Linked DNA regions of Sus scrofa. The protein of the gene in region 1 interacts with the protein of each later gene in a biochemical or structural test. Links are inferred from orthologs where the notes say so. Each region holds a gene or a part of one and is shown on either strand. Other genes may lie near its edges.

Evidence for each region.
Region 2: the proteins of TNNI1 (region 1) and TNNC1 are reported together in a solved structure, tested with the Homo sapiens proteins (2 studies listed by BioGRID, with this or other methods). The link is inferred for Sus scrofa from reciprocal best matches to the Homo sapiens genes TNNI1 and TNNC1.

What each region holds. Positions count from the first base shown.
Region 1 is NC_010452.4:23,787,520-23,790,596, forward strand, and holds the end of TNNI1 (troponin I, slow skeletal muscle), read right to left. Parts: intron 2,435-3,077; coding exon 2,258-2,434; intron 2,013-2,257; coding exon 1,905-2,012; 3' UTR 1,903-1,904; intron 1,093-1,902; 3' UTR 760-1,092; downstream 1-759. UniProt on the Homo sapiens protein: Troponin I is the inhibitory subunit of troponin, the thin filament regulatory complex which confers calcium-sensitivity to striated muscle actomyosin ATPase activity.
Region 2 is NC_010455.5:34,591,488-34,595,958, forward strand, and holds TNNC1 (troponin C, slow skeletal and cardiac muscles), read right to left. Parts: upstream 2,834-4,471; 5' UTR 2,825-2,833; coding exon 2,801-2,824; intron 1,353-2,800; coding exon 1,322-1,352; intron 1,105-1,321; coding exon 958-1,104; intron 678-957; coding exon 563-677; intron 338-562; coding exon 201-337; intron 118-200; coding exon 86-117; 3' UTR 84-85; downstream 1-83. Other genes in the region: NISCH (nischarin), read left to right, coding at 4,442-4,471. UniProt on the Homo sapiens protein: Troponin is the central regulatory protein of striated muscle contraction. Tn consists of three components: Tn-I which is the inhibitor of actomyosin ATPase, Tn-T which contains the binding site for tropomyosin and Tn-C.

The DNA.
Region 1 (3,077 bases):
GGGGCAGGACAGGGACTCACAGGCAGGTGGAAGGAGCTCTTCACGCAGCTCAGCCTCTCCTGGGCTAGACGGCCAAAGGGCCAAGGGCCAGGCCTGGGAGCAGCCACTTCCTTGTAGGCTTATCTCAGGAGTCACGTGATACTGCCCGGGACCACCAGGCCACACTCTGGCCCAGACATTGGTCTCTGCTTCACAGGAGCCGGAGTCCTCCGAGCTGTTGAGGGGGCCCCCAGGCCCCCCCCATTCCACCCCAGCAGGCTTGCATCCATCTCAGGCATGGCCCAGATGTCAGGGGGATATAGAAGGACTTGACCTAGAGGACAGACCACCGACCACCCACCTCGGGACAGAATCCACCCTGAAAGCAGTGGCCTTTTGGGAGCATGGAGGTGGATAAAGGCAGACAGGGCCAGCTCGGAACTGCCCATCGTGAGGAAGAAGCTGCCTGGTGGCCAGGCCTAGTACTGCAGGGTGTCCCCAGACAGTCAGGAATGCCAGCACCCCCACACCGGGGACAGGTGAGCCGGCTCTGCGAAGGAGGGGTATTGGGAGAGCAGCAGCTGGGCTGGGAAGGGAGAGGCCCCCTTGACGGCCGAAGCTCAGGCTGCTGAGCCGAGCGTTTGGGGTGAGCCTGTGCTGTGTGACGTCACTGGACTGGACACAAGGGGTACCCTGCACTCTGAGCCGAGCTCCTGCCCACAGCCCAGCACAGCCTCCCTCGCACACTCCCTGTCCCCCTCGGGTGCTCACAGCCAGAGCTGCAGAAACGACCAGGACACTGCTTTAATGGAGAGGCTGTGACGCCCTCAGGCACGCGACATGCTGAGTGGAGGGGGCAGCCCCTCCCGGGGCCTGGCTGCCCCACAGCGGCCAGGAGCCCCAGGGATCCCTCCCGCCAGGCGAGGTCTTGGCACACCGCTGTTCTTCCTCAGGAGTCTGTTATCTCAGCCCCGCAGGAGAGCGCTCAGGCTGGAGGGGAGACGGGGAGCAGAGCGGGACCCTCTGAAACGCAGGGGGAGATGCTGAGATGCGGGTGAGCGGGGCTGGAGGAAGAAGCGTGCAGGGAGCCCAGAGCACAGCTCGGCCAGTGGCCTGTAGGGACAGAGGGACAGACACCATCAGCTTCCCATGGCCTGAGCCCCTCACCCACGGCACACACAGCCGGGCCTTCTCAGGGCCCCCGGGGGGGCCACTGTCCTATTGGTTCCCATGAGCCTTAGCTCGCGGGGGGGGGGGGCCAAGACCCCTCCCACATGGTACCTCCCCAGCGGGGACTTCTCGCACCAGCCCAGGCGTCCACTCCACCTCTGAGCCCAGGCACGCCCTCCTTGCCCCTGCCACCACATGGCAGTGCTCAGCCCTTCAGAAGGCTTCCCTGACGGGCGGGGCCATCGGACAGACCCCTGGCCCTTGCATGTCCCCTCAGCATGCCCACTGAGGGCTCTCTGAGGCCTAACTTTGCCGCTCTCTCCAGCAGTTTCCTCAGAGAGAGGGTGGTCTTATGTCCTCGAATGGAAGCCCTGGTCCGGGCACTTTGCAGGATCCTGCAGGAAGCAACTAAAATGCTTCGACTTTGAAAAATCAGGGCTGGAGGTCCCTGGGGGTCGTGGAATCCAGGGTTCTAAGCTCTTGCATCAGAGTCACCAGGGACCGGCCCCACCCCAGAGTTTCAGATCCAGTGCCCCAGGGAGGGCCCAGACCCTCTGCACCCAGGTCTGATACCACCACTGATCTGATGCCACCCCAACACCCCGGAAGCAGGCATGACGAGTCCATGGCATTGGTGGAGGGAGAGCAAGACCAAGCCCCCAAGAGAGCCCCCCTCCCGGGACCACACGGCTCACCACCTCCCCACTGCCCTCTAGACTGGCAGCCCTAGGAGTGCCTGGCAGGCGCTGGTACCTCTACTGAGACGTTGGGGACTTGGCGGCATCAAACATTTTCTTCCGGCCCTCCATCCCAGACATGGCCTCGACGTTCTTTCTCCAGTCACCCACCTCCACGGGCCGCTCCTGCGGGGGCCACCCACATCAGAGACTTAGCGTGGGGTGGGGGCAGCCCAGCCTCCATGCGCAAGAGGCACTGGTAAGAGGAGGTCAGCCTCTCCCACAGTGGGACCCCTGTCTTTCTTCTCCAAGATCAGGACCCTTAGGCCTCCCCCAGGCTCCCAGGGGTTCTGGAACCTTCTGCCTGCTGGCTGGGCTCCGGGGGGGGGCGGGCATTGCTGAGGCTGCATGGGGTGAAGTCAGGGTCTGACCTTCTCCGTATCCTCCTTCTTCACGGACTTGAGGTTGGCACGCAGGTCCATGGACACCTTGTGTTTAGAGCCCAGCAGGGCACGCAGCATGGCATCAGCCGAGACGCGGACACGCCGCAGGGGAGGGCGCTTGAACTTCCCGCGCAGATCCAGCACCTTGAGCTTCAGGTCCTTGATCTGCAGGGAGGGGGCGACTCAAGGCTCCAGGTCTCAGCCAGAGCCCCCAGTTCTCCAAGCTCCAGGCCAGACTCCCAGGGCCACCCAGACCCACCATCACCTCGCAAGCAGCGCCCTCTATTCTATTCTACCGGTGCGGGCTGAGTGCAACCCGGGCAGGGAGGCCGTGAGCTGTGACGGTGATGGCCGTGGAGGGAAAGGCAGAAGGGTTCACTTCCTCTTATTCCTGCTTCTAACCACTCCCTTCCCAGGGAGCCTTCCAGCAGCTCCCTGAGGGCACAGCCCTGGTCCAGCAGGTGGACAAAGCCCCAGGTCCAAGGCCCTGGGGGATTTCAGGGACCACTTCTGGAGGGAATTCTGGGGAGACCAGTGACCCCACAGACCATCATTCCTGTGGGGAAAGGCGGAAGGAGGGCCGTGGCCCTGGTCCCCGCCCCCATCCCCCTCTGCTTGAATAGGCGCCTGGGCACTGCCCGCTCCAGCAGCAGGAGCCCTGCCCACCGCGTTCCACCCACTGCTCTAAGACGGTCTGGGTGGGGTCGGTGGCCCCGTGTCCCACACCAAGGGAGCGCTGAGCACTGAAGTCGGACTCAGAGACCACATTGGTGCCTGGACCTCCTCTGTGTGACCCAAGCTGAGTTGC
Region 2 (4,471 bases), on another chromosome or scaffold:
TGGGGACTCTGGCTCCCTGCCCCCAACCCCGGGGCTGGGCTGGAGTTGGAAGGTGGTACAGGCAGCTCTGAACGAAGGTCGGTGTTTACTCCACCCCCTTCATGAACTCCAGGAATTCTGTGGAGAGAGGGGCGAGCATAGGTCAGAGGTGGATCGGTGCTGGCCTCTTGGCAGCAGGGATTCAGTGCACCCCCACTCACCGTCATAGTCAATGCGGCCATCATTGTTCTTGTCACCATCTTTCATGAGCTCCTCGATGTCATCCTCTGTGATGGTCTCGCCTGTCGCCTGAAGCATTATCTTCAGCTCCTCCAGGTCGATATAGCCATCAGCGTTTCTGCCAATGGGTGAGGGGAGCCTCAGAGCCCGTGATGGGGGCACAGAGAGGGGAAGAGGCAGCCCTGCTCATGACCCCGGGAGGCAGGGGAGGGCCACTGGGAGGTGGCGCATCCCATTCCCTCACTGTACAGAATGGGAGACTGAGGCCTTGAGGTCACAAGACTGTCCCCCTCTCCCCAGCTCTGCTAGGGTTAGGGTCAGAGGTCAAGGGTCATACACTCACTTGTCAAACATGCGGAAGAGGTCAGAAAGCTCCTCCTCAGACTTTCCTTTGCTGTCATCCTTCATGCACCGAACCATCATGACCAAGAACTCATCGAAGTCCACTGTGCCACTCCCTGGAGGGAGGGGTGTGGCACAGCCATTAGAGAAGGATGGTCAGAATGGCTGGCACTGCCCTTGACACTAGACCCCAGTGCTCTCACTGCATCCTCACACTAACTCTGTGAGGCCTGTGTGGTCCTTGGGCCCATTTTATACATGAGACGGCTGAGGTTCAGAGAGGCTAAAGAGCTCCTTTAAGGACACAGAGTAATAAGTAGCAATCCAGGATTCAGGGTCCCAGTGAGCTGGGAGTGCTATGGGTTTGGGGCTGGGTGGGGAGGGGAGGGGGCTCACCGTCTTCATCCACCTCGTCAATCATCTCCTGCAGTTCCTCAGGTGTGGGGTTCTGGCCCAGCATCCTCATCACTTTGCCCAGCTCCTTGGTGCTAATGCAGCCATCCTCGGCGCCCAGCACGAAGATGTCAAAGGCTGCCTTGAACTCTGTCCAGTAGGGGAAGAGGAGAAACAGAGCGGCCAGGGCTCAACAGCCAGAAACCTGGAAGGTCAGACCTCTAGTTCCACCTGTTAACCTACCCACTTCCCTCTGACATCTGAAGTCAGAGGGAGAGGGACTCTGGCCTCTGGCCTCCAGCCTGGGGTCCTCCTACTCCCCCAGCCCAGCCCTGCTGTTCCCCTACATGCGTGTTTGAGCACTCACCATTTTTCTGCTCTTCTGTCAGCTGCTCTACCTAGAGAGGAAAAGAGGTCTCAGGACTCAGGCTCAGGCCTTCGCTGCTGTGGAGGAAATCAACCCATTCCATAGCTGGGAAGACTAAAGCCAGGAAGAGGTAGGCCATTCCCAGGTCACAGAGCAGAAGAGGCCTCAGTTCTCCCTCCCTGCCCCCCAAAGCCCTGAGGTGACCTGGCTAGCCTCACTGAGACTGGGCTCAGGGCCAGGGTGACAGGTGGGAACCCCTTCCACGACCAAGGTGACCCTGAGTAACAATAGTCATCGCCCTCCCCACCCCACCCCCAACCCCCGGCTGAAACCCAAGCTGGGTGGCCCAAGAGACAGCTGTCCCTCAGGTTGGGACAATAAAACCAAAGTGGGGCTAGGCAAAGCCACCCACTGTAACCTGACCGGGGTGGCCACTGGGCTATTTTTAACGGGGGACAAAGTTAAACCTGGTGATTGTTCTGGGGACTCTGGCATGCAGGGGGTGGGGCAGCGTTATCTAGCCCCCTGGCCTGCTGGAGCCTCAGGAGCCAAAATTAGTTCCCAGCCCCGCCAGGCCTTGTATGGGCATGGGGCGGAGGACTGCCCCCCCAGCTCCATGGACTCCTGCAGGATAGGCAGAGGCACCCCCTTCCTTTCCCCGGGCTGAGGGAGGGGTTCCCCTGGGAGCAGCTGTCCATGTCAGATGTCCTTGTCTCTACGGTGGGAGGAGGTCAGTAACACACCCCCCTGCTGGCATGGAATCACATCTGAAGCCCCTCAGTGGGCCCTGCAGGGACCTGAAGTGACCACCCTCCAGCCCTTACCCCTGGCTAAGCCACTGATCCGGAGCCTGCCGAGCTGGATGCGGGCTGGGGCCTCAGCTCTCTGTTCCTTCTTCCCAGCTCCCCACCCCCATGCCCAGTCCCTCCCTGCCTGCCTTAAACTTCAGAGCCCCTTCTCCAGCTCAGGATTCCAGCTCTCCAGCCCCCTCCTCACAACCCCTATCCCACTCTCCACAGCATCTGCAGCCAGCCAAGGGGCTGGAGGGGGTGGGGGATTGTGGACATGTGAGAAGCAGAATATGAGGGGCAGCAGTGGGGGAGGTGGGGACAGGGAAACAGCAACAGAGCCTCAGAGGGAGAGCTTGGAAGGAACAAAGAGATGGAAAGAGACTAGAAACAGCAAAAGTCCAGAGACCAGTGACGTAGACTAGAGACATTTGGAGACAGGGGCAGACATGATGCCAAAGCTGCGACATCTTCCTCCACCCACCCTGACAGCTACCCACAGACCCTAAACTCCTCACCCCTTCCACACCCTGGAATGCCAGCCCCACCAGCCCCTGAGGGCCTGGGTTGAAAGTACGTGGTCCCTCTCCTGGATTCCCACCATCTCCTTCAGGTGACCTTGCCCCCATCATGAGCTGAATGAGCCCCCTGTGGGCCCGCCACCCCAGCCCTGCCCAGGCCCATCCCTCACCGCAGCCTTGTAGATGTCATCCATACTGGCGGCTCACAGGGCAGGCTGCTGAGGTTGCCAGCAGCGGCCCTCGGCTTAAATAGCCCTGCCCCGCCACATTCCCGGCCCAGCCCACCCCTGCCTGCCGTATCCTCCACTCCCTCCCCTGGACCTGGTGATCTCACACTGGCCTGAGTCCCTGTGTCCTCCGCCCAGGGCAAGGAGAAGATGAAGGGCTATAAGGACCAGGTCTCTCTCCCTCTGTCCTCCATCTCCCCAGGGACTCTCCAGAAAAGTTTTTTGAAAAAATGAAAACATAAGCCCAGGACAGACGGGAGCTGTGTACAGGGGCCTCGCCTGGGGCCCACTATACTGCAGCTCCTGTCTGCCCCGGAGGTGAGGCCCCTATACACAGCAGCTCAACCCCTATCCAATCAAGGGAATAGGTGAGGCTCCTGGAAGGACTTGCTTGAGGTCTGGCTGACGTGGCAGCTCCTAACTTAGGTTAAACCTCTCTGGAGCAGGGGCAACACTATGTAAGGAGAGGGTGGGAGAGCAGAACCCTCAGAGAAGCCTCGAATGCCAAGTTCAGAGTACGGTGCTGTGGTACTAGTGGAGAAGGAAGGCACTGACCTACCTCAGGAGAGTATGGGCTGGAGCCTTTCTGCCAAGGGTGCCAGAGAAGCCCTGCCTGAGACCTCTCATCTCCCCAGGGAGAGAAGTACTAGCTCTGGGCTTGACTGCATTCAATCAATCATTCAACAAACTCACCCTCACAGATGCCCCATCTGTGTAAGACTGTTCCCCTGAAGTTGGTTTACCACCTCTCTCTTCTAGATCTGGGTCTTCCCCTGGGTTAAGGCTCCTTCTCTGCCTGTGCTCCAGTACTGCAGTTCCTGGGTCCAGAGCCAATCTATCGCCCCCTCATTTTGAGCTCTAGTAGAACACCAGCGGGGGTCTTGTGCCAGATGGCCAGCACATAGCCATTGCTTCCACCTAACTCAACACCTTCTCGCAGAACTCACACCAGCTCCCTGCCTTGCCTGCCAGGCGTTTGCGTGGACTAGCCCACTCAGTTCTCTGGAAGCCCATGTGACATAGATCTGAGTCTTGGAGAGGTTAAGAACTGACACAATTATTCTGTCCTGCTTGCATTCTAAGCCCCAATTTTTCTTCTCCTTTAGCCTTCTTGTGCTCAACTGGGAATGAGCCCAAGAGGAAGGTGAGAGGTAACCACTGCCTCTTTTCTGGAGAAGGAAACTGAGACCAAGCGAAGCAGTGACTCGCTTCAGGTACGCCGGAAGGTGCGGGGCCATTGGTCCTTCCTTCCTGGGCACTGACTGGCAATTCCCAGAGCAGTTCCCGCCCGGAGCCTCAGTTTCTCCCCCGCTGCTAGGAGCGCGGCGGGCGGGGCCAGGCAGGTACAGATTACGCAAGTGGACCTTCCCGGGCAGCCTGCGCACGCGCGCCATTGGCAGCTGCTGTCAATTACGCGCGAGGGGCGGAGCTGGGCGGGGCGCGAGGAGGCGGCCGGTCCAAGATGGCTGCTTGGTGAGCAGCGTGGGGCGGGGGGCGGGGGCCGTCGGGGGGCGGTGGGACGCTGACCCCGCCCCCTGCTGCTGCCAGTCTGCTCCGGGCGGCGGCGGCGACCGAGCCCGGAACATGGCGGCCGCGGCGCGCAGCTTCGGGCCC